Alligator mississippiensis: one gene and its partners. The protein of the gene in region 3 purifies or fractionates together with the protein of the main gene of each other region. This does not show direct contact. Links are inferred from orthologs where the notes say so. Each region holds a gene or a part of one and is shown on either strand. Other genes may lie near its edges.

What was found.
Region 1: the proteins of TMEM43 (region 3) and BZW2 purify together in Homo sapiens (affinity purification with mass spectrometry; 3 studies listed by BioGRID and IntAct, counting the BioPlex papers as one, with this or other methods). This does not show direct contact. The link is inferred for Alligator mississippiensis from reciprocal best matches to the Homo sapiens genes TMEM43 and BZW2.
Region 2: the proteins of TMEM43 (region 3) and CUL4B purify together in Homo sapiens (affinity purification with mass spectrometry; 3 studies listed by BioGRID and IntAct, counting the BioPlex papers as one, with this or other methods). This does not show direct contact. The link is inferred for Alligator mississippiensis from reciprocal best matches to the Homo sapiens genes TMEM43 and CUL4B.
Region 4: the proteins of TMEM43 (region 3) and SAAL1 purify together in Homo sapiens (affinity purification with mass spectrometry; 3 studies listed by BioGRID and IntAct, with this or other methods). This does not show direct contact. The link is inferred for Alligator mississippiensis from reciprocal best matches to the Homo sapiens genes TMEM43 and SAAL1.

Annotation. Positions count from the first base shown.
Region 1 is NC_081828.1:163,897,637-163,905,048, reverse strand, and holds the start of BZW2 (eIF5-mimic protein 1), read left to right. Parts: upstream 1-4,411; 5' UTR 4,412-4,426; coding exon 4,427-4,500; intron 4,501-4,563; exon of another isoform or gene 4,564-4,847; coding exon of another isoform or gene 4,848-4,891; intron 4,892-7,412. UniProt on the Homo sapiens protein: Translation initiation regulator which represses non-AUG initiated translation and repeat-associated non-AUG (RAN) initiated translation by acting as a competitive inhibitor of eukaryotic translation initiation factor 5 (EIF5) function.
Region 2 is NC_081831.1:72,376,453-72,383,700, reverse strand, and holds the start of CUL4B (cullin-4B), read right to left. Parts: upstream 3,021-7,248; 5' UTR 2,932-3,020; coding exon 2,919-2,931; intron 2,107-2,918; coding exon 1,579-2,106; intron 1-1,578.
Region 3 is NC_081835.1:16,920,338-16,927,478, forward strand, and holds the start of TMEM43 (transmembrane protein 43), read right to left. Parts: upstream 3,020-7,141; 5' UTR 2,921-3,019; coding exon 2,909-2,920; intron 2,502-2,908; coding exon 2,352-2,501; intron 932-2,351; coding exon 797-931; intron 1-796. Other genes in the region: CHCHD4 (mitochondrial intermembrane space import and assembly protein 40), read left to right, coding at 3,350-3,371. UniProt on the Homo sapiens protein: May have an important role in maintaining nuclear envelope structure by organizing protein complexes at the inner nuclear membrane. Required for retaining emerin at the inner nuclear membrane.
Region 4 is NC_081825.1:191,297,130-191,304,098, reverse strand, and holds the start of SAAL1 (protein SAAL1), read right to left. Parts: upstream 3,004-6,969; 5' UTR 2,973-3,003; coding exon 2,724-2,972; intron 1,956-2,723; coding exon 1,842-1,955; intron 1-1,841. UniProt on the Homo sapiens protein: Plays a role in promoting the proliferation of synovial fibroblasts in response to pro-inflammatory stimuli.

The DNA of each region.
Region 1 (7,412 bases), on a different chromosome or scaffold from region 3:
ACACTTGCAGGAAATCAGGCTTTTTATTTTTATTTTTGGTGGTATCTTTATTGGGCCTCAAGTTGCCAGACAAAGGGCACTTAGGGCATTTTTACACATGCTTCAGGAGGCATGGGGAGGGCGCTTTAATCAGTGAGCTGCACCAATTAAAAGTGCCCAAGTGTCACATGTATCAGTGTCCCTGTGCTGAAAAATGATGGCGGAGCACTTTGAACTAAAGCTCATCAAACAACCTATAGATCAAAGCAGCCCACCGCCATTTTTCAGTGCAGGGACGCTGATGCATGTGATGCTACAGTCTGCTGGAGCGCGTTAATTTCCAGGCTACAGCAGACTCGATTAACCAAGTCTGCTCTGGTGCACTGGATTTTTGGCATGTCGCACCAGGTTCCCTGCATGTGTATAGGAGCCCTTAGTGCTCAAAAATTTTCTTTTAATCTCTCTCCCAGGTATGCAGTTGGTCCAATAAAAACACTTCCCTCGTATTTAGAAATGGCAGTAATAGAATAAATTGCTTGCATATTTTATACATGGACTTAGTCCAGAATTCTGCAGGCAGAATGGGTCCCTTGCACTATTATCTCTGTCAGGTGCTGGAGCAGAGGTGGGCAAAATATGGCCCGCAGGCCAAATTTGGCTTGCAAGTCCATTCTATCCGGCCTGCGGGGCCCCAAAGAAATTTTTGAAAATTAAAATTAACCTGTCCTTGGTTCCTGTCAAAAATGAAAGGAACCAGGGTCAGTAGGACCCAGGGGAATCCTTGGTGGGCTCAGCAGCAGCTTGTAACCCGTCCCTGCTGTCACCCTGGGCCCCGTGCCGGCTCCAGGCTCACCCATCAGGGTTGTGCATGGCGGCAGCTGCTGCGGCCCCCTTGCTTGCTGCTCCAGACAGTGTTTGCTGCTGCTGCCTGCCTGGAGCTTGCGCTGCAGTGAGCCTGCCACTGCCGCCTCTGTGTTGCCCTGCGTGCAAGCTCTGGGTGGGCAGCGGCAGCAGCAAACACTGCCTGGCATGGCAAGTGGTGGGGGCTGCAGCTGCTGCCACCGTGCACAGCCCTGATGGGCGAGCCTGGAGCCAGCACGGGGCCCAGGTTGGCAGCAAGGGTGGGTTACAAGCTGCTGCTGAGCCCACCAAGGATTCCCCTGGCTCCTACTGACCCTGGTTCCTGTCATTTTTGACAGGAACCAAGGACAGATTCATTTTAATTTTCAGGGGCGGGTTACAAGTTGGTGCTGAGCATGCCTGCTCAGGACAGCCCCACATGAGCTGTGAGCGGCTGCAGCAGGAAGCGCCTGCCACGGGGCAGGGAAGGGGCTGCTTCTTCCTGTGCTCCGCACCAGCTCCTTCCCTGCCGGCGAGCAGGGGGTCAGGGCTGTGCGCTGCCCCCAGCCTGTACCATGGTGGGGGGCACTGGGAGTGAGCGGGTGCAGAAGTGTGGGGCCCACACCAGTGTCCCAGAGCCAGCAGGACCCAGAGCAGGGCGGCAAGAGTACAGGGTCCTAGCCAGCAGGGGCTCCATGGAGCCGGGCCAGCTCCCCCTTCTTCCTGCTGGTGCAGCCTAGCCTGGCTCCACAGCCCCTGCCCTGCTCTGGGCCCCACCTGGCCCTGGGACATTGGTCCCAAGATGGTAATCAAGGGGTGGGGCTACCCATGTGGTCCTCAACAGCTTGCTAACACTGGGTAAGCGGCCCTCTGCCCAAAATAATTGCCTGCCCCTGTGCTGGAGTCATGGAAATACAGGTGTATTCTAATTATTGATTAGTCATGCTAACAGACAAAAATAACTATCTCCAAGCAGGCTGTTAGGGTGGATTATCTCTGGTTAGAGAGAATTAAGATTAAGGGATAGAGAGGTCATGTAGAGAAAACAGTCTGGGGCAAAGAAGTCATGTAGGGTATTCTTCAGAGAATGGCAAAGATAATGAGTATGGTAGGCCTTATTTGGTGGTTTTAGTTACCAAGATAAACTCTGGCAACAAAGCAAGAATGGATTACATAAAATACCTGCTACACTTGATTTGGCTCATTTCCTTTTATAAATGTTTCCTCACTCTTCTTGGCAGCTTTATTATTGGGAATATATATATTTTTTCCAAACAGGTCTCTCTCTCTCTCTTTGTCTCTCAGGGTTACACTGTTCAAAAATCCTTGCTTAACTGCTAGAAATAGAGAAGCTTCTAATAAGCTTCAATTTCTTTAAACAGTTAAAACCACATAGAATAAGAACTTGGATTTTTAAAGGTTTTGGGGTTTGTTTTTTTTTTAAGTTTTCCTTACTTGTGCCATACTGCAAGGGAATAATTTGTGAAATCTCTTCAGATTTTGCTTTTATTAATCTGGTTTTCTGGATGTGGTATTTGAACTTTTAGAAACTTGTGTATCAGCTGATGCAGCGTGAAATTGAGCAATGACAAGGTTTTGTTCAGGTCCCCAGGTTTTCCCGATTCTGATGGTGCTGTGTTTGTTTGGACTGTGGATTTTATCTTCTGTAGTATGTGGTCCTTTGCCTTGTTTTGGGCAATCTCCTATTTTAGAGTAATGAACAAACTGCCTGAAGGACACAAGAATGCTAAATAGGGCCTTATGAGAGCTACAAACTTCAGAAATACTAGGTCTTCGGCATAAGCAAGATTCTTTGCTAGGTTGGAATTTTAAAATGCCACTTCTAAAACTTGATGTTAATATGACGACCCCAGAAACAATGATACAGTAGAACTGTTAATGCTTATTGAGGCCTAAGGTGTGGGTGATCCTGGCTTTCTGAAAAAGACTTATGAACCGATTGACAGAGTACATCTCAAAATTGAGATCAATAATTGGCAATTTATATTGTTCATTGCTGAAAGTTACTTTTCCATTACTTTCTTCCTCATTCCATAGATTCATGCCAGACATGTCCGTGGCTGTTTGGTTGCCTTACTTTAAGTGAACCTGGGTTCACTTATAACAGATATCTGCTTAAATTCCAGTTAATATTTAGAAATAGTGTCACAGTTAGGAAATGAAATGCATTCCTACACCTCCTAGGGTAGGAGTTTAATTCATAACTCATCTCAGAAGCACTTAAAAACACAGCCGTGCCCATTGCCTTCCCTAGGTGGCTGAACATTCAAAATTGTCCCTGTGAAAGCCTGGGTAGATGCTGTGCCCCTTCCAATCACATCAATGTAGTAATGATGTGGATTTTCTCTCTCCCAAACTGATGCTGACTCCGTTCACTCTAACACTCACTTTGGAGATAAAATAACTTGCAGCCCACAAACAAGTGCAGCATATCTCTTTGAAACTGCTTTTTTTTTTCTTTCTTTATCTGCAGCCTTTTCAGTGCTAGCTGTTGCTGAAAGGGACTTAGTGTGGATGGGACCTGGTTGCTGTTGTTTTATTTTCTTGCTCCCCTTTGAGGATGTTCCTGAGATCTCCCCTAGTCTGCTCCAGACTCTGTCTCCCTCAACCTCTGGTAGCAGTCATTCTAAGCGATCTTCTAAACTCCCCCAAACATAATTATTTTTCTGGTGCTCAGAGTATCAGTAGATGAACTAAGTATCTTTTTGTTAGCACTTGAGTTTTTAGCTGCCTTGCTCTGCAAAACTCTATTAGCTGGTTTCCCTCCTTCCTCTCTTCCCTATTCCTCAGTTTCTTTAGAATAATCTTCCCTAACTTTTCCTGTTCTTTCCCTTTTTAAATAATGTGACACATATATTACCTTTTTGCTTTTTTCCTACTTCAGTACTTGCTATCGTTAGTTAAAATTGTCAACTGTCACAATTCTAATGCAACTGCAACATGTGCCACTTGTTTGTATTACTGTGGTGCTTGGCAGCTGCTGCCAGCTTTGGCCATTTTCAAGGGGCCTAGGCCAGACTGCAGAAGTGTGGCTAAGCAGAAAGCCTCAAAACTTTTTTCTGAGTGACTGTAGCTTGAACCTTTGCAGATGTAACAACTAGTTAGGCCAGTAGGATAAAGGAAGCCCTCAGCATAACTGTCTAACTCACTAATGAGATTACAGTTAAACAAAGCACAAGGCCTGAAAGGCGACATAAGGGAAGACCATACATTAAATAATCCAGATATACTATATAATAGCTTTATTTTAAAATATTTGTAGTGGTGATTGATGTAACCAAATGTATTAGATGTTATTTTGTTGTAATAGATATCTTTTTGGTAAGATGCTTAGCAAATCTGTAAAAACAAAACAGCTTTGTTGAAGACCATAAACTAAAGAAGAAACAGGCCAGTGTTGAACAAGAGGGAAGAAAAAGGGATAAGAAACCCTCTGTAACAGGGTACATGGCTCATGGTCTGTAGCCCAGCTGCAGGTGTTTAGAAGGGGATCACCTGCCTGCCTAGGAGGACTAGACCAGCTGATAGGGATGATTGGCTGGCCCTAGAAGAAGTTAAAAGCTTCCATGGAGGAGAGTCAAAGGATATGGAAGACTGCAGTTCTGTGGAGGCAGCTCAGAGCTGGAATTGCCTTCTCAGGGTCTGGGAAGGACCACAGAGGTTGATTTAACTGTTTATTGCTTATGCAGTTGTTTGTTTTATGGTTTATGTTGCTTCCTGTGGGGACATGTTTGGCCCAGAGAAAATAAAACTGCTCTGTGAACAGTAACAAGCCACTATACCTTCCCTTTTATTTTTCCAAGGATGTAAATACAAACTAATTGACATCTTCCAAGTCCACAAGAGAACTGGTTCAGTCCAGGTCCAAAAGTTTCAGAGAAGCAAAAATTTAAATGAAATTGATCAGAGATCATTTATTAGAATATTAGAACCAGTCATCTAGAAATACTGGGTATAGGCTGGAGGGAAATTTGGAGAACTTGGCGAATTCATGAAGACCTGCTGCCATGCTACCTTCCTCCCACCACTCAAGTCTCCTCAGCCTGTATAGGTGAGAATCTACGTTGTGCTGTCATGGGGTGGCCAGGTGGACTTTGGGTTAAATGTTTGTTTTTGTGTTTTGAAGTGCAAGAAAATTAAAGGTCCGGCTGCAGATCTGTTTCTGTCTCTTATCATTAGTTAACCCACAACGTTACCTGTAATCTGGGTAATAGCTCTAGTCCTCAACCCAGAACCTGTAATCCCAGTTCACTACCTTTGACTTTCCTGGTCTGAGGGCCCCTTCTTGTTAGGTTTCAAGCCATAGCTTTTGTTTCAAAAAGGAACTGTAAGATTTTCTAACTTTCTGATCAGGTGCTAGGTAACAGTCTCCTGTGTCTCAACCCTGATCACTTCAGCAAAAATTAGTTGGGCTCAGACTCTGCAATTCCGTTTTCTCTGGGGAAATTAGTGATCAATCAGCTTTGCTTTAAAATAAAAACCGTTTCAGAAAAAACCTCTTAAAACAATAATCCACCTTAAATAAAGTTACTGCTTTTTCCGCAGTGCTTGTTCAAATGGCATTTTCCTTGAGGTGCTGACAAAGGTCCCCTGGCCATAAGAGTCAAAACACCTTTTTAATGCTTAAATCTTTGATCTAGTATGGCTAAAACACTTTTATAGAATAGGAGAGACAAGTTACAGAATTTTTGAAGTCAGCTGCTAGATCCCATTTGAGTTTAAGGTATACAAGATATTCTTATCTGGGTAGTTACTGATCTGTTTTCTTTTTTTATTGCCTCTATTATGTTATGTTATTCAGACTGAGGTACACCTACACCTTCATACATGTACCACCTAGGATCTTTAGGGCAATGATACTCAGCCAGTGCTACAGGTGCTGTGCTGTGAAATCTTTTTAAGGACGATGCACAGTCTTGCACTGTTAGTTGCACACACAGTTCACAAGATAAACTCGGATTTTGAACAAGAATCCATAGTGTCAGAAACATTTTGACCTGTTGTTCTTTGCAACAGAAGAATTGTTCTATTTTTTATTTTTTTCATAGTAAAAAAAAAAACCAAGTGAAAGCCAAGAGCTAGCATTTTCCTTGAGTCTGAGGGGTGGCTTGTATCCAAAAAAGGCTGAGAATCTCTGCTTTAGTGGGTACTTCAGTGATGATTCTCAGAGACAGGAATGGGGGAAAAAGGAAAAATGTGAATAGAGGAAAAAGGAAAGAAAACAGACACATTATGCACTATCCCTTAGGATACTGGAAAGGTTAGAGTTAGGTTGCAGTGACATATTACTTTGCTAACCACAACACAGAATTATGGAGATCTACCTCCCAAGACAGTTATCAGATGAGTAGCACTTCCTGTTATACTCTTTTATTGTAGATAAAGCAACTGATTTTTTGTTTGGTGTCTTGAACATTCTTAAATCAAGTGCACATATCTTTTAGTGCTGTCCCATTACCTCTTGTTGAAAGTACCTCTCCAGAAATCTCTTCAAGATATTGTATGAAACCCTCTTTCAAGATGGGACAAATTGACCTCTGCTTCTGAAGTGTCAGTAAAAAGGCTGAATACTCTTCTGATTAAAGCAGAAAAGGCTTCCCTTTTATAGTTAGCCCAGCAGTGCCTTTCTTGAACTTTTACTGTACCAGGAAAATATCTTATACTTGCACAGCAAGTAAAAAGTGGAAAATAAGTAGTTGTTCATTGGCTTCACTGTCTTGTATGATGCAACAGAATGTTTTATCATTTTGTCTGTGAAACTAGATTGCTGATGATGATCTCTCCTACCTGTAAATTATTGAACATTATATTCCTTTAAATGTTAACTACTTTACTGATCATGTAACATACTTTGATAGCTGTTAGACTTTTAAACAACCAAATGATTAAAAATGTATGCTTTCTCTATGGAATGAGTAGTAGTTAGCCAAGTTAGTCTGAAGTCAGGCAGAAAGCGAGGTAGAGGTGCACCCAAGGCTGGAAACAAATGTGATCCTAAGTCTCATGTGTGGTTGGTTATGGTGGTGCATGTGCTGAGAAAATAGACACCTAAACCTGTTGTGGTACCACATGAAAGGAAAATCAGTGGTGTAGCAAAAGGTAGTAATAGACTGCCACTTAATTGTGGTGGATAGCTTACCTTTGTGGTGGAGTGGGACAGTCAGCCTGAGCTGCTTGCATTCTTCTACCACTCCAGGCAGGTGCTCTGGAGGCTTGAGGGGCCCTGAAACTCTCAGAGCACTTGCCTGCTTTCCTTGCTTACAAAGGGGCACCCTGGGGAATCTTGGGGTACCTCTCCATTTGCAAGGAAGTCTGACTTCTTCACCCAGCCACATGTGGGGCACAGGTCTGTCTGAGTGGGGAAAATAGGATTTTCCCTGCTTGGCCAGACTTGTTACCAATTTATCATTGGAGATGGGTCTGGATAAATAGAGAAAGTGGGGAGATAACATCACCCCTTAGTTTTTCCCCTCCCTACCCATGGTATAGGGTGAGGGGTATTTCCTGTTCTGTGATGCATCAAGACAGCCAGTTTGCTTAATCCAGCAAAGTCTATGTATGTGTCCACATGA
Region 2 (7,248 bases), on a different chromosome or scaffold from region 3:
TAAGACTTAACAGTCAATTGGAAAAAGGTATTGTTTTAAAAAAAGAAATCAAACATTACTAGCATCTCAGATAAGGTCAAACTTACTTCCTCAACATGAAAGGCTGAAGAAGGGCAGTCACAAAACTGATACATTTTATATATACTAGTTTGCCAGGTGGGAGCCAACATGGCAGTTCATAATAGGCAACTAAAATCCACAGCAATTAAAAAAAGTTGTAAAAAGCCACTGCCTAAATTTCACTACTTTAGATAAGAAAGCCATGGTTGAAAGTCAGTTTCTCAGGATCATGCCTTAATCTAATATTCTGAGTCTGCAAGTGAATAAGGAATGCATGTGGCAGTAGGGTAAGTGGAAGAACACTTCCTCATGTCACTGGGAAAACCAGCGTTACAATCTAATCCATGTATGTTGTAGGGTATCTATAACAAGCCCCATATAAATTGGGGCTCGTTATAGATACCTTACAACATACTGGAACAGTGGAGTTACCAGACTCCCCCCTCCCTGCCTCAAATACCAATAAAATACTAGCATTACTTAGGATTAAAAAAAAAAAAAGTTATGTAAATCAGTATTTTTCAACATGAATAAAGGAAATGGAATAGGGAAGGAAGCTTCTGAATTAGTGCAAAGTGTCAGAGAGAAGCAGCGAAGAGAACTACATGAACCCTGGATTTGCCCAAGTTTTGACATAAATAACAGACAGCAGCTCAAAAGCTATGCATGTTCCCTGCCTACTCCAGGAAGTAAACCATAAAGTAGCTATTAAACGGAGTAGCTCAGGTTCAAGCAACATGGTATCCAAAGCTTTGGTATCTGCTCAGTCACAACACTTCCTGGCCTCATTCAACAACCCAAACTCATGCAGGAAGATCAGCAGGTACCCCCCCCCCTTTTTTTTTGGGGGGGGGGGAGGAGGCAGAATAAAGAGGGGGAAAAATGGAAAAGGAAAGAAAAGAAAAAAGAGTCAAGATAGGTGAAGAAGAGAAGACATAAAAGTAATGGGTCACAGATAATGCCAGGAAAATGTGTAGCAGGATGCTCAGCGTCAATCCACAAAGTGCTCAAGCATTAAATATCAATAATCATTTTAAAATCTAAATTAATTTCAAACTTAACAAATGGAAAGACACCAGGCAGAAGAGGCTATTTTCAAGTGGCTACCCTGTGCTATGAGCTATTAGATGACCTGGACTAAATTACTGTTGTGACTTGAGTCAGGATTACTTCAAAGGCAATATCAAATACGGCCATTCTGAATAAAGGCAATTAAAAAACAACCTCACACCAGAAGACGTTTCTTAAATGCCCACAACAAAGTCTGTCCTTCACAGGTACACTGAGAGCGTCCAAAAAACAATCCTAAGTGACATAAATCTCCAAGTGCGTATGCAGTGTCATAAATCCCATACTATAAAAAAAGATGACTTTCCCCTTTTTCTACACGCGCTCGGGGGGTCACCACCAAAGAATATTTCCAGTAGAACTTATACCTATTTACAAGCCCAGTGGATAGCTGTCATATAGACATAAAATACAAGCAGTGTGTCAACTCTTCACATTATGGCCTGTTACCTTTAAAGTTCTTGATCACTAACTTCTTGGCAGAGCCAGGTTTACTATTGGCGAAACTGGAAACAGTAGAGGAGGCAGCTTTGGTCAGACCATTCGCATGGTGCCCAACGGCCACTGAAGAAATTAAAAGGCTTTTATTTTTGAGCTGCTGCTGGTGCTGCTGCTGAGAAGAGGCGGCGGGAGAAGAGGAAGAGGAAGACTCTTCAGCCATCTTCACATCGAGTCCAATAAAATCCAAGGAGTCCTCAAAGCGCAGCTTCTTCTGTAGGTGATGGTTGGTGGAGGCACCCCCTGAGGAGGAGCAGGAAGAGGTGGTGATGATGGAGGAAGATGAGGATGAGGAGCTGTTTTTGGAAGGAGAGGAGGAGCAGGAGGAAAGGGAATCAAACTCTTCTCTCTCCGAGTTGTTGCTGCTGCTGTTTAACTTTCTCTTCTTGCAGGAGGAGGAGGAGCTGCTGCTGCTGCTACTACCATCAGTGGCAGGTCTGACCTCCTGAGCTGCTGCTGGGGGGTTGGGGGAAGAGAAACCTGTGGGAAACATGAACACACAGAGGTGAGCAGGCTGAGGGGCATCAAATCCTGGTGGTAGGACAGACCAAGAGAGAGAGTCCGAGTCCGTTTCGGGGCTGCCGGATCAAGAGTCTCTCAGCTCCTCTCTCTCTCTCTCCCCCGGGATGTCGGGTCGTCCGGTCTCCCGTCTCGTCGGCTTCCTTCCTTCTCAGGGGAGCCCCTGACGGCCTCTCGCCCCCTTCCCCCTGCTCCTTTGTCTCCGCTCAGTAGTCGCTGGCAGCCTCCTGCCCCCACTCCTCTCGCAGGGCCTCGCTCTCCCCGTCTCTCTCCGCCCGCTAGCGCCTCCCAACCCTCCTGTCCAGGCCCAGCCTCAGCCGTCGCGGGGGGCTCCTAACTGCTGCCCTCTCCGCCTCCGTCTCCTGCCCCTTTCTCCGCAGGGAAGGCGCCCGTGGACGCTGCCGGCTGCCCCCCGCCCCAGCCGGCGCTCTCCAGCCTGCTCTCGCCTCTCTCCCTCCTCCCCCCTCTCTGCCTCCTGCTCTGTCCGGGAGGGGGGACCGGATCGGGACTTGTTATTGTCAATACAAGGCAGAGAGGGGCCCTAAAGATGGCGGCACATCCGGCCGCGGGGCATGCCGGGACACCGCGGCCCGGAAGCGCTCCCCCACCCGGAGCGGCGGCGGCGGCGGAGGGCTCGCCTGCCCCAGCTCGGGCCAGGAGAAGCGCAGCAGCCGCCCTCCCGCCCGCTCCCCACCCCCCGCGGGGCCCCGCGCCGCCCGGCCCCGCTCGCCGCCGCCTCCTGCGGCCCCCCCTTCCGCTCCCCTCTGACCCACCGGAAGTGATCATGGTGCCGGCGGCTCGCGCCGGGCGCCGGGACGGCTCGTTGTGCCCCGCGCTGCGGCGTGCGCACGTCGGGCGGTGGGGGGCGTGGCCACGGCCCCTCCGCGTGTGGGGGCGGGGCTTGGGGCGGCTCCGGGTTGAGCCCCGCGGGTTTCCGTAGCCAGGGAGGGGTGGGTCTCCCTGGAGGGGGCGGGGCGCCCGGTGTTGCCTCCCTGGCACGAGCAGAGCCGCGCTGTTGGACGCAGCTGCTTAGTGCGGCGCGACAGGCACCCTGGGGTTTCTTTTTTATTTATTTTTTTAAATTTAATTTGTAGCCGAGGCCAAATTAGCCAAAACTAATTCCAACTCCATGAGTCCAGACCCATAAGTGGCCCTGCGCCTGGCAAATATCCTCCACCCGCACCTGGGGCTTCCGATGTTTCCAAAAGCTTTGGCGGGCGTCCCACGTGCGGGCCCGTTGGGGTCCGGATGCCCCCGAGCTCTGCTTGCCCTCAGCCGTAAGGCCCTGGGAGCAAGCGAGAGAGGAGCCGGAGCCTGAGCCTCCTCCTGGGTTTGCTGCCAGCGCTTTCTTATGAAAGAAAGAAGCACTTCAGCTTGGGTGACCCTGGTCTCGCTCGCTCGCTCGCTCGCTGGAGTTACGGCTGAGCAACGTCAAGTAAAACTTGTGTGCCTATTTTTTTTTTTTTTTAGCATGCAATTATTTTTCAGCAAATACAGTAATTTGGTGCTTCCAATACGACCGCTTCCTATTTAAGCCGGGGCAGCGCTGTTGCAGCCCTTCCACGCGCCGCCTCGTTTATGGCGGAGCGCGGCGGTGGTGGTTTAACCCTGCACGTCGCAGAGGCGGAAGGTGGGGGGCTGCCCTCGTGTAGGTGAGCTCAGCACCCTGGGTGTCTAGAGCAGTGTTTCCCAACCTTTTCCAGCTCAAGGCACGCTTATATTAATAAAACTTTCCCGTGGAACACCTGTTAAGGCATTCCCTATCCTTACATCTATTGTGGCTTGTTGCCGTGGCAACAGCCTGTGGCACACCTGTTCGTTTCTGACGGCACACTTTTGTGCCGCGGCCCGCTGGTTGGGAAACACTGGTTTAGAGAGACGGGGAGCATAAGCTGCCTGAGCCCAAGTTCATGGGCATCTGCTCACCTTGAGGTCAGGACAGCAGGTGCTCTCCTGTCTACAGACGTCTCAGAGGAGCAGGACTGCCTGCCTTCTGCCTGATGCCAGGCTAACACAGCGACCTGCTCTCTCTGCCCCTGCCTGTCTTCCAGCAGTGGTGCCCCGCCTTCCCCCCCCTTGGGCTGGATGGCTGGGGCTCAGGCCATGGGCTGGATCCAGCCTGTGAGCCCGATACAGCATGTGGGCCCGCTCTTGGCCTGGCTCCCAATCCAGCCACAGGGAGGGAGTGTGGGGGGCCCCACAGGCCGGATGCCCCAGCTCCATGGGCTGCGTTTGGCCCGTAGGCTGGAGGTTGAGCACCCTGTTTTACGTGCTTTAAGACTGATATACCTCTTGCACCTGTTGTCCCCCAGAGACTAGATTTCTGGGGTCCTCGGTTTGTTCTTTCATCATTAGCCTGCTCGCTCCTTCAAAAAGAAACTAATGCACAGAAACTAGTGAGTTATTTAAACGGGGATGTTGAACCTGCTCTGAAACCCTGACTGAAGTCTGGAACGTGCTTCCTTCTTGGAAGGGAAGAGTTTTTGTTTTCCCCTAGCAAATATCAGCTAGGTTATTTTTGAGAGGTTTGCAATATTTGCATTAGGCTGAAACTGAGCAAACATTAGTCAAAATAAGACTGGCTTTTTTGGAGTTCTGAATCGGAACGGTTTGTGTCGGGAGGAGGGGAATTATAGATCCCTTTTAAACACCTTTTTGTGACGCTTGTGTATTTTTATCATCACAAAAAGAATCGCACAAGTACGCTGTTCCGCTTCAATAAGGACTCACAGTTATCTATGGGCAAAGGAACAAAACAAGCTGTTGGCGTTATTGAAGTCGGTTGGTGCAGGAATTCTCAAAGGACTGCTGATGGGAGCTTCCACCTGCCTTTTTGACAGCAGAGCTCTTTCAGGGGAGATTGCTGGCAGCTGTATCTTGATAGGAAACCCTGTGTTAACTTGTCTTGACAGAAATTGTGGCTCATAGAGACATAAAGTCATTTTACTGAAGCTTTTTTTGGAATATGTTTTCTGTTTGAGCAATAGCGAGGGCTCTTGAGACATGACACTGAACTGCACTGATGTGCAGAAAAATAACTTATGAATGCTTTCTCCAGGTGCAGTGTATTTTCAATTTTGTTCTCTGCTGAATTTAGAACAGGATGAGTGGATGAATGCAAAATTACAAGTAATGTAATAAGAACGGTAAAGTGTATTTGCTTGTATTATCCTTAATCTTTTTTAGTTTAATAGCTCAGCCTTCATCAGTTTGCATTTCAGTGTTTTGCTTCTCTTCAAGTTCTCTAAAGGTTTTAAATCATTTATAATTTAGAATCTGATCCTGGGAGTTAAGAGTGCAAAAGTTGTTTGGTAGAGGGCCTCTACTCCTTATATTAATCACTATTCCTAGCTGTACATTTTTTTAGTATTTGAATAAATGATGATATTTATAAAACTTTCATTATGTTAAGTATTAGTTTCTAGTTATTTTTACAGTGTTACAATTATCTAAGTCATTGTGCTTGGAAAAATGGCATGAATGATCGTTCAATCCTGTATTTTTCACTGAAATTAGTGTAAAACTCCCACTGGCTTTAGTAGAAAAGAGATTTCTACACACATACATTTTCTTTCTCTAGCAATTAGCTCTATGAAGATAAAACTTATGCATGTCTTTTCTATTCAAACCAGATAAAATAATATATCAATTAGATCCATCTTTATCCAGTCTATGGCTTGATACTGCATTAACCATTAATAAATGCTATAAAACATAATTATCTTCACCAGAACCCATTCCCCCTTCTGGCAGCTGGATCTTCCTGGGAGGTCATAGATGATCCGCTCCTCCTCCACCTGCCAGGATCCTGCAGGGAAGTCCGGGATACCCTTCTCTCACCTGTGGCACCAAGATCTCTTCCTCTGCCCGGCTCCCTATCTGGGTCAGCACCCGCTTTCCGAGAAACGGATCTTTTTTCGCCAGGTAGCAGACAGGGCATTGGTCTGGGGTTAGAAATTTGGGAAAAGAGAGCTTGTGTTTTGACTATATTTGAGGACAGTTGTGTCTTTTCTCCCTGTTTCAGGATTTATTGTTCAACACAGATTAGTAATTATTACCCCTTTTATTTCTTTTTGAAGGACTATTTTTTTTTGAAAGTGGAATAACACGCAAGAAAGCAGTGCTGTGTCTGCAACTAACAAACGAGCAATGTTTCTGAGAACATAATAAAGGTATTGTTGTACCATAGCCGTAACATTTCATCCGAGGTAATTGCTAAATACAGTAACACTGGGTCACTTTCCAGTCCAGTCCTCATCTGTTTTCAGATGTTAGCAAAGAGTAAGTAAAAAAAAAACCACCAAGAGAACTCTGTATATACCTTATTTGATACATGATTACAAACAATAAAATAGGATTCATTTAATGTTTGAATGATAAGTAAATTTGAAAAATGACTTAAAATTTAAACTAAAGATGGTTCTTGAGAGACTCGGATATATTATACCAGGACAAAATCTGGTCCCTGCCAGAACATATGACTTGCCATATTAGATCAGACTAGCGGTTCATTTATTGACATTAAGTTGCTTTAGAGAAAATGATGCGATTTAGTACAGTTATGGATTTAACCTGCTTACAGGGACTCTTTCATCCTAACTCCTCTCCTGTAGAAGTTATTTAGTCCTTGTAGAATTTAAAATTTTTTTTTTGCTATTGTAACCATATCTTGATCTGTATAAATGTCAAGGTCATTTGAAGCTCTTGGCTTCTATGATACCTCATGGTAATGCGTTCCATGGACAAATAGTATATTGTATTAAAAATATTTTTATCCATTTTAAGTCTTCTCACTTCAGAGTCCAGGGGATGACTCCTTGTCTTTGTATTACGAGAGAGAATGAATGAATGGTTTGATTTAGTACTCTCATATTAATAATTACTTAGTATCACTGTCTCTTATTTTTCTCCTCTAAAGTAAACAGCCTCCATCTTATCTAGTGGTATATTTTTAACATATGTTGGGGCAGCACGCAGAGCCTCAGTTAAAAAATAATCATGCAGCATTAATTTAGGGCAAAGTTTCCTTTTGGAAAAGGAAAATCTAAGAATAATACCTTACTTAATAGAGCTATTCCCTGTGTGTATTCAGGTTGTACCTTG
Region 3 (7,141 bases):
TGGAAATGTTTTCACTTCAAAATGTTAAAAAAGAAAAAAAGAACAAAACTCTCAAGACCCAAAGTAAATTTTAAAAAGTGGGGTAATGAAACAATGCATTAGAAACAGTATAATTCTGCACTACTGCTGTGTATCTTTTTTCAGAGGATTTTTAAGAACTCTATTTATGTTAATTATACTTTCCAAAGCCACGTGAATAAAAGGAAATGTGCACATTGGGTGGATAATCAAATTTCACTCTGGTACAAATGATAAATTCCATGAAGTGACTGATATACCAGCAATGGATGCAGTATAAAAAGTCTTGGCACAGGAGGGAGTGCATGCTATCTATTTAGAGCAGTGATAAATTTGGCCTGAAGAAAGTGAGACAAGCCTGTGGAAAGGCAGGCAACATAACCAGGTGTCCTGGCTCACTGTCCCTTACTCAAAGCATTCAACCATGCTTGAACAGATTTAAAATGAACCCTTTGTCTTCTCTGCTGGCCATTATTTCATCATGACATGCCTTGGAAAAAGAACTAACCACAACATAATTATATCTGATCTAACAAGAAGATGTGCAGCTTCCACATCAGATCCTCAAGTCTTTGCATCTTTTTGAATGCAATGACAAGTCCCAAAATCTCTACAGTACAGATGTGAGGAAGAATTGAAAACATCAACATACTCAGGTAGGGCATGTTTAGATTCCAAAGTATTTCTGCATATCAAGTATGCCTGGTTTTAACTGGCAGAAGAGCTTTCCATTCCCTCAACTTATGCACTAATTTTTGGCCACTATTATTTTACTTGCCTTTGATGTTGCAAGGGCACCAGACAAATGCACTAGTTTCCCCTCATTTTGTTGAGACACGGTGCGTATGTTGTCAAGAGGAATTACAAGAGACAAGCCCTCATCAAGAGAGGTGGCTGTCTTCAAAGCTCGTCCCTGCAGTCAATTAAAAGAGAATACAATGAAAAAAAAACGAGGAAGAATCTTGAATTAACGAATGAACCAACCAGAAGACTGTGTCACAAATTCCACAAAATGCTAGCATGATCAGGCACATGGCATGAAACATCTGTACTTATTTGTTGTTTCAATCTTAATGCCCGATTTTTACTTGAAAGAACAATACTTCTTCATGCAACTAAACCACTAAAGTTAATGTACATACTCACCAGCACAATATTCCTACCATGATACCCTAAAATTATTTTCTTCCTTTTGACCTTAGTCACTAATGATAGTATGGATGCTACTATGGCGTTATTTTACCATACAATTATTCTGACTGGTTGATAATATTCCCTTCCTTAACTTCAGGTTATTGCTCTTTATGCTACACACTTCTGTTTGAGATAGCAAAAATTCTTTTTCTTCATTTATGTAGGTAGCATGCTAGAAGCTTTTTGTTTTCTGGGTGAAGCTCTGAAATTTCACCAAATTCTGTCTCCACTCCAAGATTTCCAGTCAGATCAGATTAAAAATACTTTCAGGATAAAGGAAAGCCTTAATCCTGCAAACTCTTATGCACATACTTAAGGTTTGCTAGCACAAGTAGCTCATTTAATTCTGGGAGATGTATTACAGGTAGTGGAGCTGAGGGCCTGAGTATTTGCAGAATCAGAACTAAAATTAGCCTCAAATTAAAACAAACAGTTTGAAACTAGAGTATTAAATAACCTGTAGTATAGCTAATTACTCAGTTTTGTGGAGATTAAACTAGCTTTACACACTTACACTATAGTTCAGATAAGTTCTAACAGTTTTCTGAGCAAGCATGGGAAAGATGGGAATGTAAAAATAAGGTTTTAGGAATATGGTTGCTTACTTACTTGTGGCTACTATTTGTTTTGACACAAGCAAAGCAAGTCAACTAGAGTATGAAATCTATAGCCTCCCCTATGCAATAGTACAACAGAATCATTAACTCCCTTTGTTGTACAAAAGGGGGAAGCGACTTACACGAGAGGCACTTGCACACAGAAGGCATGTGCAAATCCATGTAATGCTCTTCAGTTCCACTTGCCACCTAATATTTATTCATTCTTCCCTGTACTCCACTGCTTACTCTGGATGTTCCCGTCACGTCCCTTCATATTCAGTTCTCAAAAACTCTCATAAACAGCTCTCCTATCCAATATCCTACTCCTCTATTATGTCCCCAACTCAGCCAGTGATAGGATTCAGGCTCTTCCCATATGTTCCACCTTTCTCACACATGAATTAATAACAAAGCTTAGAGGACAGCCCAAATGCTTTGCAGTTTGACATTACAAACACTCAGGTAAGAAAGAATTTGACTGGAAGTGCCATAGACTCGAGACATACAGGAAAACATTGGCTTGACATGCAATTCACATACCTCATTGGTAAAAAGCACGTAGAAAGAAAGGGAAAACGACACAAACCCAATCAGCATCCCCCCAGATGTCTCACTGAGCCGCTCCAGGAACCCTGGTTTGGGCTCACTGGTAATTTTAACATGTTCTTTTCTGCTGCTTGCGTCAGAGACCTGTTAATGGAAAACAAAAATGAAATGTTAGAGACAGCAAACTGGCACGTATGCATGGAAGGATCTATCAAGAAACACGTAGGAAATTTCTAATGATTATCAGTATAACGTGATATATTATATTCCTACCACCACAAAACCACTTGGGGACGGATCAGACCTTTAGTTTAAAATGCACCCACTGGTTTAGATTCTCTCTGTTAACTGCTGCCTTACCTTGTTTTCATTAATTTTTTAATGACCCTGCTGCTCTGCTTTCTGCTCCCTGCCCTGTGCCCCCAGCCTGATCTGCTGCCCCTCCTACGCCTAGCTGCTCCCAACCCTGACCTGCCGCTCTGCTTTCTGCTCCCAGCATCGCCCCCAGGACAGGCGGACACGCGGGGCCCTCGGCGCGGGGCAGCACTTACGTTCCGCGACATCCTCACGGGTGCGGGCACTGCACGATGGCGCGGGGCATGCCGGGAGTTGTAGTTTCGCAGCCGCGAGGCACGCCGGGAGTCAGGCGGGCCGCCGCGAGGCGTGCCGGGAAAGCGAATCCTGGCGCGGGCGGGGAAGGAGAAGCGCGGCCTATGCAAAGCATGCCGGGAGGGGTCATTTGCAGCCGAGGGTGGCCACGAAGGTGCCTGCGCTTAGCTGCCGGCTGAACTCCTCCGAAGCGGCCCTCAGCAGGCAGAAGCAGGGTGCTGGGTGCTCCCCAGGGTGTCCCCGCAGCACCTCGTGCTCCCCCTTTCGCTGCTTGCCAGCAGGCAGTGCGGAGACAGCCTAGGGGCCTTCCTCTCGCAGCGTGGAGACCGGGCGGACGGGGCACCGGTGGGGTCAGTCAGCGCCGGGCGCGCGAGTCCCTCACCATGTCCTACTGCCGGCAGGAAGGTGCGTCCCGGTGGGGGGAGGGCGCCGGGGGGCAGCCTCGTTCCCGTCCGCGCTCTCGCGGTCCTTCGTGGAGCGTTACATGTAACGTGTGTCCTGGCCCGGCTGTGCGCGCAAGGGCGCTGTGAGCCGTGCCGCCGGCTCGGACGGAGAGAGCTCGAGGAGGCGCGGTGCCTTTATCGCTGGTGGCTGCTCAGGCCTAGCTTGCCCGCCTAGCAGGGCGCTGCGACTGCGCTAGAGGGCACGCCCGAGCTGTGCGCTGGGAACCGCGCTATAAATGTAGACCGGCCACACGTGCAAAGTAAGACTGGCTCTGAGCACCAAGTAATGATCGCACCATTAATAGGTAAATCACGCTATAAATGTAGCCCGGACACATGTACAAAATAAGACTAGCCCCAAGCGCCAAGTAGTCATCACACCATTAATAGGTGAATTGCGCTATAAATGCAGACCAGCCCCACGCAGAAAGTAAGACTGCCCACGCCACAAGTGCTTAGTAATTATTGTACAATTTAATTGGTGACTCGCACAATGAGTTTAGACCAGCCATGCTGGCAAAATAACTATCGCTCAATTAACTAGTGATAGTAAAGGGAAGAAATTCCGCTGATACATAGTCTTGAACCATCTTAATTCTTGAACCATCTTAATTCTTTATTTGTAGTGTTTGCATCTTCAGATCCCTGCTCCTCAGTGATGTGAGCTTTGTCCTCGGGTCACAGCAGGGTGTTGTGAGCTCTAGAGGCTGAACCTCAGCTCTAGTTCCATAGGTAGCTAAACTATAAAAATAAATCATTTTTACAGTTTTGACAAGTAACAGTTAAGACTGCTGAAAAGTATCATAGATTAATTACCATATAGGGAAGATAGTTGCTAAAAAAAGACAGTTGTCCCTTGAAGGGCACTGATTCCTCTAGATGACCTTGACAGTAGCAAGCATGCTGAGGTTAATCAAATGGATGTTTTACTGCAAAAATTATGCTCCCTCCCAACTTGTGTGGTGTTCTTAGCTTCTTTGTTCTGGTTTGTGTAACTTGTCTGTTGTGATGTGGGAACATGGCTGCAACCAATTAGATATGTTATGGGACTTATATAAGCTTTCTCCTGCAGAGGACTATTGGACAAGATAAATAATGTGATGTGATACATCAGTTAACTTGTAAGAAATGTTAGGTGTGTTTTGGGAAGGTGGGGTTTTGCATTCTAAACTACGCTATGTTACCTAACTTTTTGAAAGAGACTTCAGAAAAAATCAACAACTTTTTTTTTTTTTATGTGAAAGTTCAGCCATTAAAATCTGGTTCTTTTCCCTTGAGTAGAGTTCCCTTGGTAGGTGTGATCAGCAATAGATGTTTTTAAGGAGCACATGCTCTTTTTAATATGACTTCAACCTTTATAGTTTCATAGTTGGTAGGGTCGGAAGGGACCTGAGGAGATCATCTAGTCCGACCCCCTGCTGTGGCAGGAAAGAGTACTGGGGTCAAATGACCCCAGCAAGGTGTTCGTCTAGCCTCCTTTTAAAGACCCCCAGGGTAGGAGCCAGCACCACTTCTCTTGGAAGTTGGTTCCAGGTCCTAGCCACCCTGACAGTGAAATAGCACCTCCTAATGTCTAGCCTGAAACTACCCTCCGCTAGCTTGTGTCTGTTGTTTCTTGTAACTCCTGGGATTGCTTGGGGGGAACAGGGACTCTCCCAATGCCTGCTGGTCCCCCTTGACTAGTCCCCCCTCAGCCTTCTCTTTTGGAGGCTGAACAGGTTCAGGTCCCTCAGCCTCTCCTCATAGGGCCTGCCGTGCTGCCCCCTGATCATGCGGGTGGCCCTCCTCTGGACCCTCTCCACATCCCTCCTGAAGTGCGGCGCCCAGAACTGGACGCAGAACTCTAGCTGCGGCCTGACCAGTGCTGCATAGAGGGGGAGGATCACCTCCTTGGACCTGCTTGAGATGCATCTGTGGATGTACGACAGGGTATGGTTGGCCTTCCTGACCGTGTCCCCACACTGTCGGCCCATGTTCATTGAGGCATCAGTGATGACTCCGAGATCCTTTTCTGTCTCAACACTGGCGAGAAGGGAGGTAAAATTCACCTTAAGTTGACTGAAGTAAATACACTTGAAATTTTAAAAAATTTTTAGCTATCTTAACTAGCGGTTCATTGATAAAGATTTTTTTTTGGCTCATACCAATAGCCAATTATTAACCAGCCATATTGGCCGATACTGATCCAATAGTCAATGTGCAGCCTGGCTGTTAAGCCTGTGCTGGAGGGGGGAGGGGGAGGAGCAGGCAGATTGACGCCCCCACGATGAGGGAGGAAGTGGGGCTGGGGCAGGCATTGCCCAGCTGGGGCAGGGCAGGGCATGGGGTGGAGCTGCAGGCAGCTTTTCCGGGGGAGGGAGCGGCTCCCCAAAACTGTGCACTGTTTGGGGTGGCATGGGGGGCATGTGCCCCCTGCATTTGTGGGCTGGGCGAGGGCAGGCTGCGAGGTCGGGGCCAAGGGCTTCGCTGGCCACTTCCCAGCAGGAGTGCTGGGCCAGGGCTGCGCTCAGGGCAGGCGAGGGTGGGAGTGGGGGCGGGATGGGCTCAGCTGCACAGGGCGGGCAGCAGCACTGGAAGAGGTGGCATTGGGGCCACGGAGCTATGGCCACCCCAAAGTTCTCCGTCGCCACCCCTTCCGCCACCACTGCTGCCCACCTTGCGCAACTGAGCCTGCCCTGAGTACAGCTCTGGCTCAGCCTCCTGCTGGGAAGAGGTCAGAGCAGCCCCTGGCCCTGAGCCTGCAGCGGGCAGCCCACCCTCACCTTGTACACAAATCTGTGGGGCACAGGCCCCACATGCTTCCCCCAGGGGTGCATGCAGCAGCAGGGAGCTGCCCCCCAGTCCCCCCAGCAAGCTGCCCATGGCCCTGCCCTGTGCCCCACCATGCCCAAGCCCCACTCCCTCCCTCACTGTGGGGGCCTCAGTCTGTCCCCCCCCGACACATGCACCCCTTTTCCCCCTACAGACTTACAAGCCGGATGCTGCTCTCCACGCTACCCGGCTGCATTCCTGGCCATGTGCAGACTGCAGCTGTGCACACGCACACAGCATTTATCGGTGACATTATCAGATACACGGACCAAAAAAGCTGGTGTAGCCAATTGCCAGTAATGTAAATTTTCCTTTTATCGGTGCCGATTTGATATGGACTGATATATTGGTGCACCTCTAATCTTAATGTATCCTAGGTGAAATTGTGCCTGTGTGCATCATCAGTTAAACTTGTTTTCTTTGCCTTTACTGTTGATCTGCACAAATACTGTTTTTCTCTGTTTATGAATCCAAAATTGTCTTATTTGAAAAAAACCCCAAATTCTCTCATTAAATACTCAAAATCCACGTTTCTTTCACAATTAATATGAAACAGCACTCTGTGTGTGTGTGTGTGTGTGTTGAAAACAATGTTTCATTGATATATTTACAGTTTTAAAGCAATTTGGAAGCCCACCAATGCCTCAGTTGTTATTATAATAAAATACATTCTAAATACCTATATATTAGGGCTTTTGATTTTGGTTTTTTTATCATGGAAAATCAGAGCTCCACTGCCAGGACATGGGTCCAACTGAGGCTATCCCGTCTCCATCCTGCCCCGAGCAGCCCCGATATGCCAGTGCCCTGCCCATTCTGTTGCCCCTCACTCCCAAGCCACAGCACCCCCCTTCCCCCCCCCCCCCGACCTGCTGGTGACCCTCACTCCCGACCTGCAGCCCCCTGGTCCTGCCGGTATCC
Region 4 (6,969 bases), on a different chromosome or scaffold from region 3:
TTTAAAATATATTTTTCACACATTTATCAAACCTTTCCCATGGAAAATCAGGCCAAGTCAAGAAGTTGTCAGATTCACTGCAACAGCCAAACTGCCTGCCAATTCTCATTGGGCTGTCAAGAACAGTCAATAATAGAAGGAAATGTGTTCACTGATGTGATGCTCCTTACTACACCATCCTTATCCATCTTTGTGGAATTTCATTCATTGATTAACACCTTACACAAGTCATCAATATTCTGTTTGGTCCACTACTGATTTTTTCATTTTTCTTGGGGCAAAAGCACTAAGTAGTAAGAATTCAACCAATGCCATTTTCTTCAACCATGCCATAACATTCAGGCAGATAAAAAGGTAAATAAGGAAAGAGATTTTCTATTAGGACTTAACCAGAGAGGCCAGAAAAGAACGTAGTAGAAATCTTCTCTTCCTTTTTCCACCTCATTAAACCAGAAAATTAATTCCCTATTTGGAAGTAAAGGATTCATCTTCCAAGTTGTTTATTTAGAAACATCTAAACAAAGAGAGCATTTTTTTCTTTATTCAAGAATTTGCTAACATTTCGGTTCTTGGAAACTTTAGGTATCACAAAATAAAAAAAAAAAAAGTCTTATTAGACTACATAGGCATGGTTTATTCATCAACCATAATACAATTTAATAGCAACAAGCATTGTCGTTAACTATAGATTAGTATGATATTAAAAAGGGTAGAAATGTAATCACTAGAGATTAAAAAGCTGAAATTGTAAACAACCATTATACAGTTCTAAGATAAACAAAAGAATTAATTTCCATATTAGTTGACATATGAAGTCTAATAAGTCATATGAAAATACAGAGGCTTCCAATATGGTGTCATTTATCCCAGAGAATTCTGAACCAATGAGCACCAGATGGCAGATCCTGTTCCATAAACAGTCCAAGAGCCCTGTTCCCTACCTACACAGACACAGAGCTCTGTTCCCTACCTTCAAAAAACAACTCGGTACCAGCAACTGACATCAAACTGAAGACTCTTGTACATGACCTAGCGATTAGTTTAGAGTGCCAGAAAAATTCTTGCTATTTTCATCCTAGTCTTTAAAGTATACATGGCGACATCATTAATCTTTTTCATGTCAAATTACTACCTGCTTTAGGGTGTCAGGAGACTGTCACCTAGAACAGAGAAGGAGCAATGACATCCAAATTGGATGGCTGGCTGAGAATCCTTGATTCTGACTCCTCTACCCTAGAGATGTCAAAGATATGGTCCACCAAGCCATCCCATCTCACCCACTGGGCTACTGGAAATAATGAGGGGGTGCGCAGGGGACAGGGCCTGCTGCAAAATGAGGGGGGGGGGGGAAGCAGCACAAGGGCTGTGCAGCAAAGGCCACAGCTGCCAGTAGTCTGCAGATCCAGATCAGGAGGAGCCCAACAGTCTGGAGGCAGTCAGGTGCCCAGAGTGAGTTTGACACCCCTGTTCCACACTACAAGGCTACTGCTGCTCTAACTACAGCAGCAGAGTCACATTAGCGAACTCCCCAGGACAGATGCAGCTCTGTTGCCAGAAGAGTAACAGCTCTCTGAACAACAAAAGCCTTCTTTTGCTAGCACAGCTGCCTCCAAACTAGGTATTTCACTGGCACAGCTACATCCACTACAACGTATGATTTTTTTTCCATATGACATACAGTATGTTGGCAGAATTTTACAATGTAAACAAGACCTAATATTACCAACCCTCTTTCAGAACCATTTAAATTAAGAACATTAAGCAAAAGGCCAAAATTGCAAAAAAATTCTTAATTATACAGTTACTTTCAACATTTCGCTAAGTAAGACTGCTTCACATACCTCATCCATGGACATATCCCACACTTTACATATGTCATTCTCCATTTCTTCCTCTAGCTCTGTCTGTATCTCCTCATTGCTCAAGTTCAAGTCATTCTTTTCAGGGCTAATAACCTATGAAGTACAGAAGAGAAAATGAGGCTAGAATTACTGAGCTACAGCGAAGAAATGCAAGGAGTTAGAACAAGTTACAGTTTTAGTTAGGAAAAAAAAAAAAAGTGACTAAACATATTCTTCTCAAGCACTCACAAAACTCACAGAAGCATTCAGTACTTTTGAATCACTCCCTGCTTTGCCAAAAGAGGCTTGCTTTACAAGATCAGCAGGCCTTTCATCTCATCCTGCCTCGCTTTCCCCCGCTGAACAGGTTTAATAAGTAGGATCCTCTGCTGATCAGCTTCTTCTTGACAGGAGGTATTACCACAATGGTTCTCAAGTTTTTTAGACTCAAGGCACCTCCTGGACAAAACCAGCTCTTAGTTATCACTGGTTGACTATGGAAAACTACTAGGGCAGCGATTCTCAATTGTTTTCGCCTCAAGGTGCCTCCCTTACCCCCCAACTTTTATCAAAGGAGTGCTGCCCCACGTCATGAACCAACTGATTCGTCAGGGGGACTTAACTCCTTGCAGAGGGGCTCTGAGGACACAACTGGAACCTAGTGCTCCAGGTATGTTCAACTGGACAGCTGGCAGGGAATGCTTGATCCCAAGTCCTCTAACTCAAGGATATCAAAGATACAGTCCACAAAGCCATCCCATCTGGAGTTAAAGCCATGCCAGCTGTAGCTAAACTCCTGAAGTTCAGCCTCCCAGTGGGCTAGCCCCAATATCTCCCTACACCCAGAACCTGAGCCCGCCCTTATGGGCCTATCATCCTCACCCTTCCTGGTGCGCCCTTCGCAGGACCCCAGGGTCCGCAGAGGACACCCCCCACATCCTTTCCCAGTTGAGAGCCACTGAGATAGAACCTTTCACAGCCCCCTCGTGGCAGCGCCCTTCCCGGCTGGAATCCTCGGGGGTTCCACTGAGACTCTGGCCCCGCCCCGCCCCCGTCACTGCTGCACCGCGCACCGAGCCCCCGCGCGCAGGCAGGTCTCCCTCGGTCACTGCCGGGTGCGCGCATGCGCATCTCGCACCGAACGCCCCGGCCTGAGGAAGCCCCCCGCACGCACCTCGATGAGCTTGGTGAGGACGCTGAAGAGCCAGTGCTTACTGTACACGGTGTCCCCCACGGCGTCGCCCGAGGCCTCCTCATCCTCCGCCTCGCTGGACGGCGGCGTCGGGTTCCGGTCCATGCTCAGGCCGGGCCCCGCTGCACACGCAGCACGGGGCTGCAGAGGCAGCGAGCGAGCAAGAGCGGCCGCCGGAGGCCCAGCCACGCCGCACAACGCCCCCTACCGCCCGCGGCCTGACACACCTCTCCACTCTTAGTGTGACTCCGCCCGCACACGTCACTGCCGGATGTGCGCATTCGCGCCAAGGCGCGGTCCCGGCAACCAGAGTCCAGGCCAGGTGTGCGCATGCGTACCTCGCGCCTCGAGTGGGGGCCAAGTGTGCGCATGCGCACACCGCACCGAACACGCTTACGGGGCAGGTCCCCTCCCGCCCGACTCAGGGCCGGGTGTGTGTATGCGCACCTCTCACCGAAGGTGGCCTGTGGCGTCCACCTAACCAGTCAGGGCTCGGTGCACGCATGCGCGTGTCGCACCAAACCCCGCGGTAAGGAGGGTTCCCCGCATCGAGTCAAGGCTAGAGGTACGCATGCGTACCTCGCACTGCTACCCCATCCACCTACTGATGCAGGTGCCCACCCCCAAGCGTCTCAACCTGTCCTTGACAAGGCGCTTGTCCCGCACGTGCTAGTCGTTGGGATGCAGACTGAGCTGCATCTGGGATCAGGGTGCTTGGGCGGAGGCAGTAAGGACATGCACCCAGCACGGTGGGGGGAAGGGCGAGTGGTTTGCAGGGCTCCCCGACATCTGTAGGCTGAAAAGAAAAAAAAGGGGAAAGGAAGAGCTGGCCTTTCCCTGAGAGGTGCCTCGTGTCTATAAGCATATATGTACGTATGCATATACAACCATGTATAAAATATATAATAAAGTGCAATATAATACAATTTATGTTGTCATAATTATATATATAGATATGTTATAAATATGTAATAATTATAATACAATATAATATAATTTAAATAGCCTGTCCCAGACAGCTGGGGCTTGCTGGCCAAAGGCAGTGGATGGGATCAGCTGTGCCACCACAGGTCTCTCGCAGCAGATCAGGACGTCAGAACTGCCCCCAGCCCCTAGGTCCATCTTGCCCAGCCTCTGGTGTTTGGCAGCTCTGGTGTGCTCTGCTCAATGGCACCCTCCTTTTGCACCTTGGACTTTTGCTCCCATCCCTGTTCCTTCTTTAGCTGACCCCCAGCCATGATCACTTGATGTGCTTTTAGCCCCCGCTCCCCCTCCCCTATATGAAGGGGGGCTTTCAGCTTTACTGGGTGGGTCCATCTTCCCAGTGCCCACCACATAGGCCTGCGTCACACAGGGATGGGAGTGAAACAACAAGGCTATCCACCACACACAGGGGCAGAGAGTGGATGCTAAAAAGGAGAGTGAGTTGGGGATGATCAAGGGTTTTTTTCCTACTGTTCCTCTCCCATTTGCAGCCTCTTTCAGCATTTCAGGTCTAGGCCGTTCAGATTTGCTTCATTGGGCAAAATGTGCATGGCCCCGCCTCCAACCTTTGATGATGTAGGACAAGTGGATGATTTAATCTCTCAGCTTTCCCTGCACAGGCGGCCCCGCTCCCTGAAGCGCAGGGGACAGGTCTGGCTGAGCAGGGGAAAGCGGGCTTTCAAGTTTAGGGAAGTGGTAAGGGCAAGAGACACCATATCGCCTGTAGACTTACTACCTGGTGACAGCTGCCAGGATGTGTGGGAGCGAATCTTCCACAAGGACCTGCAGAAGGAGTGCAGAGACCTGAACTGGCAGGCCACTCCCCATGCGGGCATGGAAAAACAGCGCAGGATAGAGAGGCCCATCGAACTGCCCAGGCCTGTGGCTGGCAGGCAGAAACAATCGACCACCTCTTCTGGGGCTGCCCATATAGCAGAGAAGTGTGCTCCTCCTGGTGGTGACAGGTTTAAAAAACCTGACCAGGGAAGTGGTTCTTTACAGGTACCTGACCAGACACCAAAGACAGCTCACTCCAACCAGTTCGTATCCTGCTTCAGGTATGCCCTGTGGAAAGCCAGGAACCTGCTCATAAACAGACACTCAGACCCCACAGTTGAGGACTGTATTAAAATGGGACTAAGTGAAATGTATTGGTACTGTAAAAAGACAGAAGAGGATGACAGGAAAGAAATAGCAGACCTCATCTGGTGGAGGGGTCTGGCATAGACTTTTTCAGGAGTAGACCCACTAAGGAGGGCAGTGGATGGGGGGTATAGGTATGGAGATGGGTGCATGGGCATGCAGTTACATGGTGTGAACTATGTAACAGGTTTTTAGTGTGCTTTGAGCTGCCAAGTGAACCACAGGGGCCACTTGGCAAAATGCTGGAGGTGGAGTTATATATCTTTATTTATTTATATATATAGCGAAATAAATATTTTTTTTGGGAAAAAAAAAAGGATTCCTCAGGGTGACTTTCTGTAAGGCGAAAGTGAGCAGCTGCTCCATAGGCTTGATAGACCTTGAAGCTCCCAGAGCCCCTGCCTGGGATGGCTGGAGAGTACATGCAGCTCAGGCTGCTCATACTCTGCTGTCACAGAGCTAATAGATGCCCATGGTGATAGTGGTAGTCTTATTGCCTTTTGTTGCACCACTAATTTTACTGTGATGTGGCATACCAAAAGGTGGCAACATCTATTTGCTCACAGTTTGTTTAGCAGTTAGGGGACCAGGTTTTGGGTAATCTAGGACAGGTTCCTGATCCCTGTCTTGACTTGTTGGCCTGATTTTAAGAATCAGCAGCTCATACTCAATTGTGGGCAGGGTGCAACATCCCTAATATGACCAATCACAACACATCCCGTTGATAACTTAGGGACCTTTATTGATACACAGCAGCAGCACATGACAAATTAGCAAGCAAGCGATAACTCCCTTTATACACTGTGCCCCAGGGATGCACGCAGGAAGACACACATCTGGCCAGCATGCAGTTATCTTCTGTGGGTCTCTTGCTTCAGTTTATGGTCATCTCTCCTGAAGGAAGTTACTGAGTAATGAACATACCCTCTCTTTGTTTCTCTCAAGTGTTATACCTTTAGTCCCTTCATTGTGCATCTACCTGGTACTCATTCATTGGTGGTCCAGTCTGACGTATCCTGTCCAGACAGTGAGGGTACTGTCAACATGCATTTCATGCACAAGGTGTCTGCTAAGCTGTGTGTAACAATGCGGAGTCTTAGGGTTGCTGTGATCTCCCCTAAGGCCTCCTTTACCATGCCAAGTTGACCCAAAGGGCACCCTCAATTCTCTCCTGCTGCATCTTTGATGAAAATATGTATATTAGGGAGACTGCCTTTCCGTCACCTTGGGCACAGTTTACTGTACGTTCGGAGCCCATGGACTCCTGGATCCCTGATGGGTCCTGCTTCAGAATAGATGTTATAACAGGTGTTTCGGGGCACCCTAGCCTTATGGGCTATGCGTGGCTCCAGCCATCCCTTTACCACACCCCAAGCCTCGCAGATGAAACAGACTTTCTTTGGTCTGGGCCCTGTTATAATTCGGCTCCCTGGTTTGCCTCGGGCTCTCCACCGCCCTGTCTCGCGCGGTGCCCTCACTGGCGCTTGGGGTAGGTGCACCCAGAATGCTGCGCCCTCTCTGGCACCAGAGTCCCCACACTGCTGTGGGTCCCCTAAGAGGCCTCCTCCTTCCCCTAATAGCCTCACCCAAACCACCAGTCTTAAACAGTAAACCAAAAACACAATCCCCTGGGCTATAACATCAACTCTAGCCACCCAGCTATAACCTTATTCCAGCCACCCCTGGGGTGTTCCATCCTTTACCCGTCTTGAGGCTGTACCTGCAGTCAGGTTTCTCCCCTCTGCTGGCTCTGGGAGAGTTCCTTCCCCCTTGGCTGCTGGCAAGGAACTCCACCTCTTGGCCTCAGGC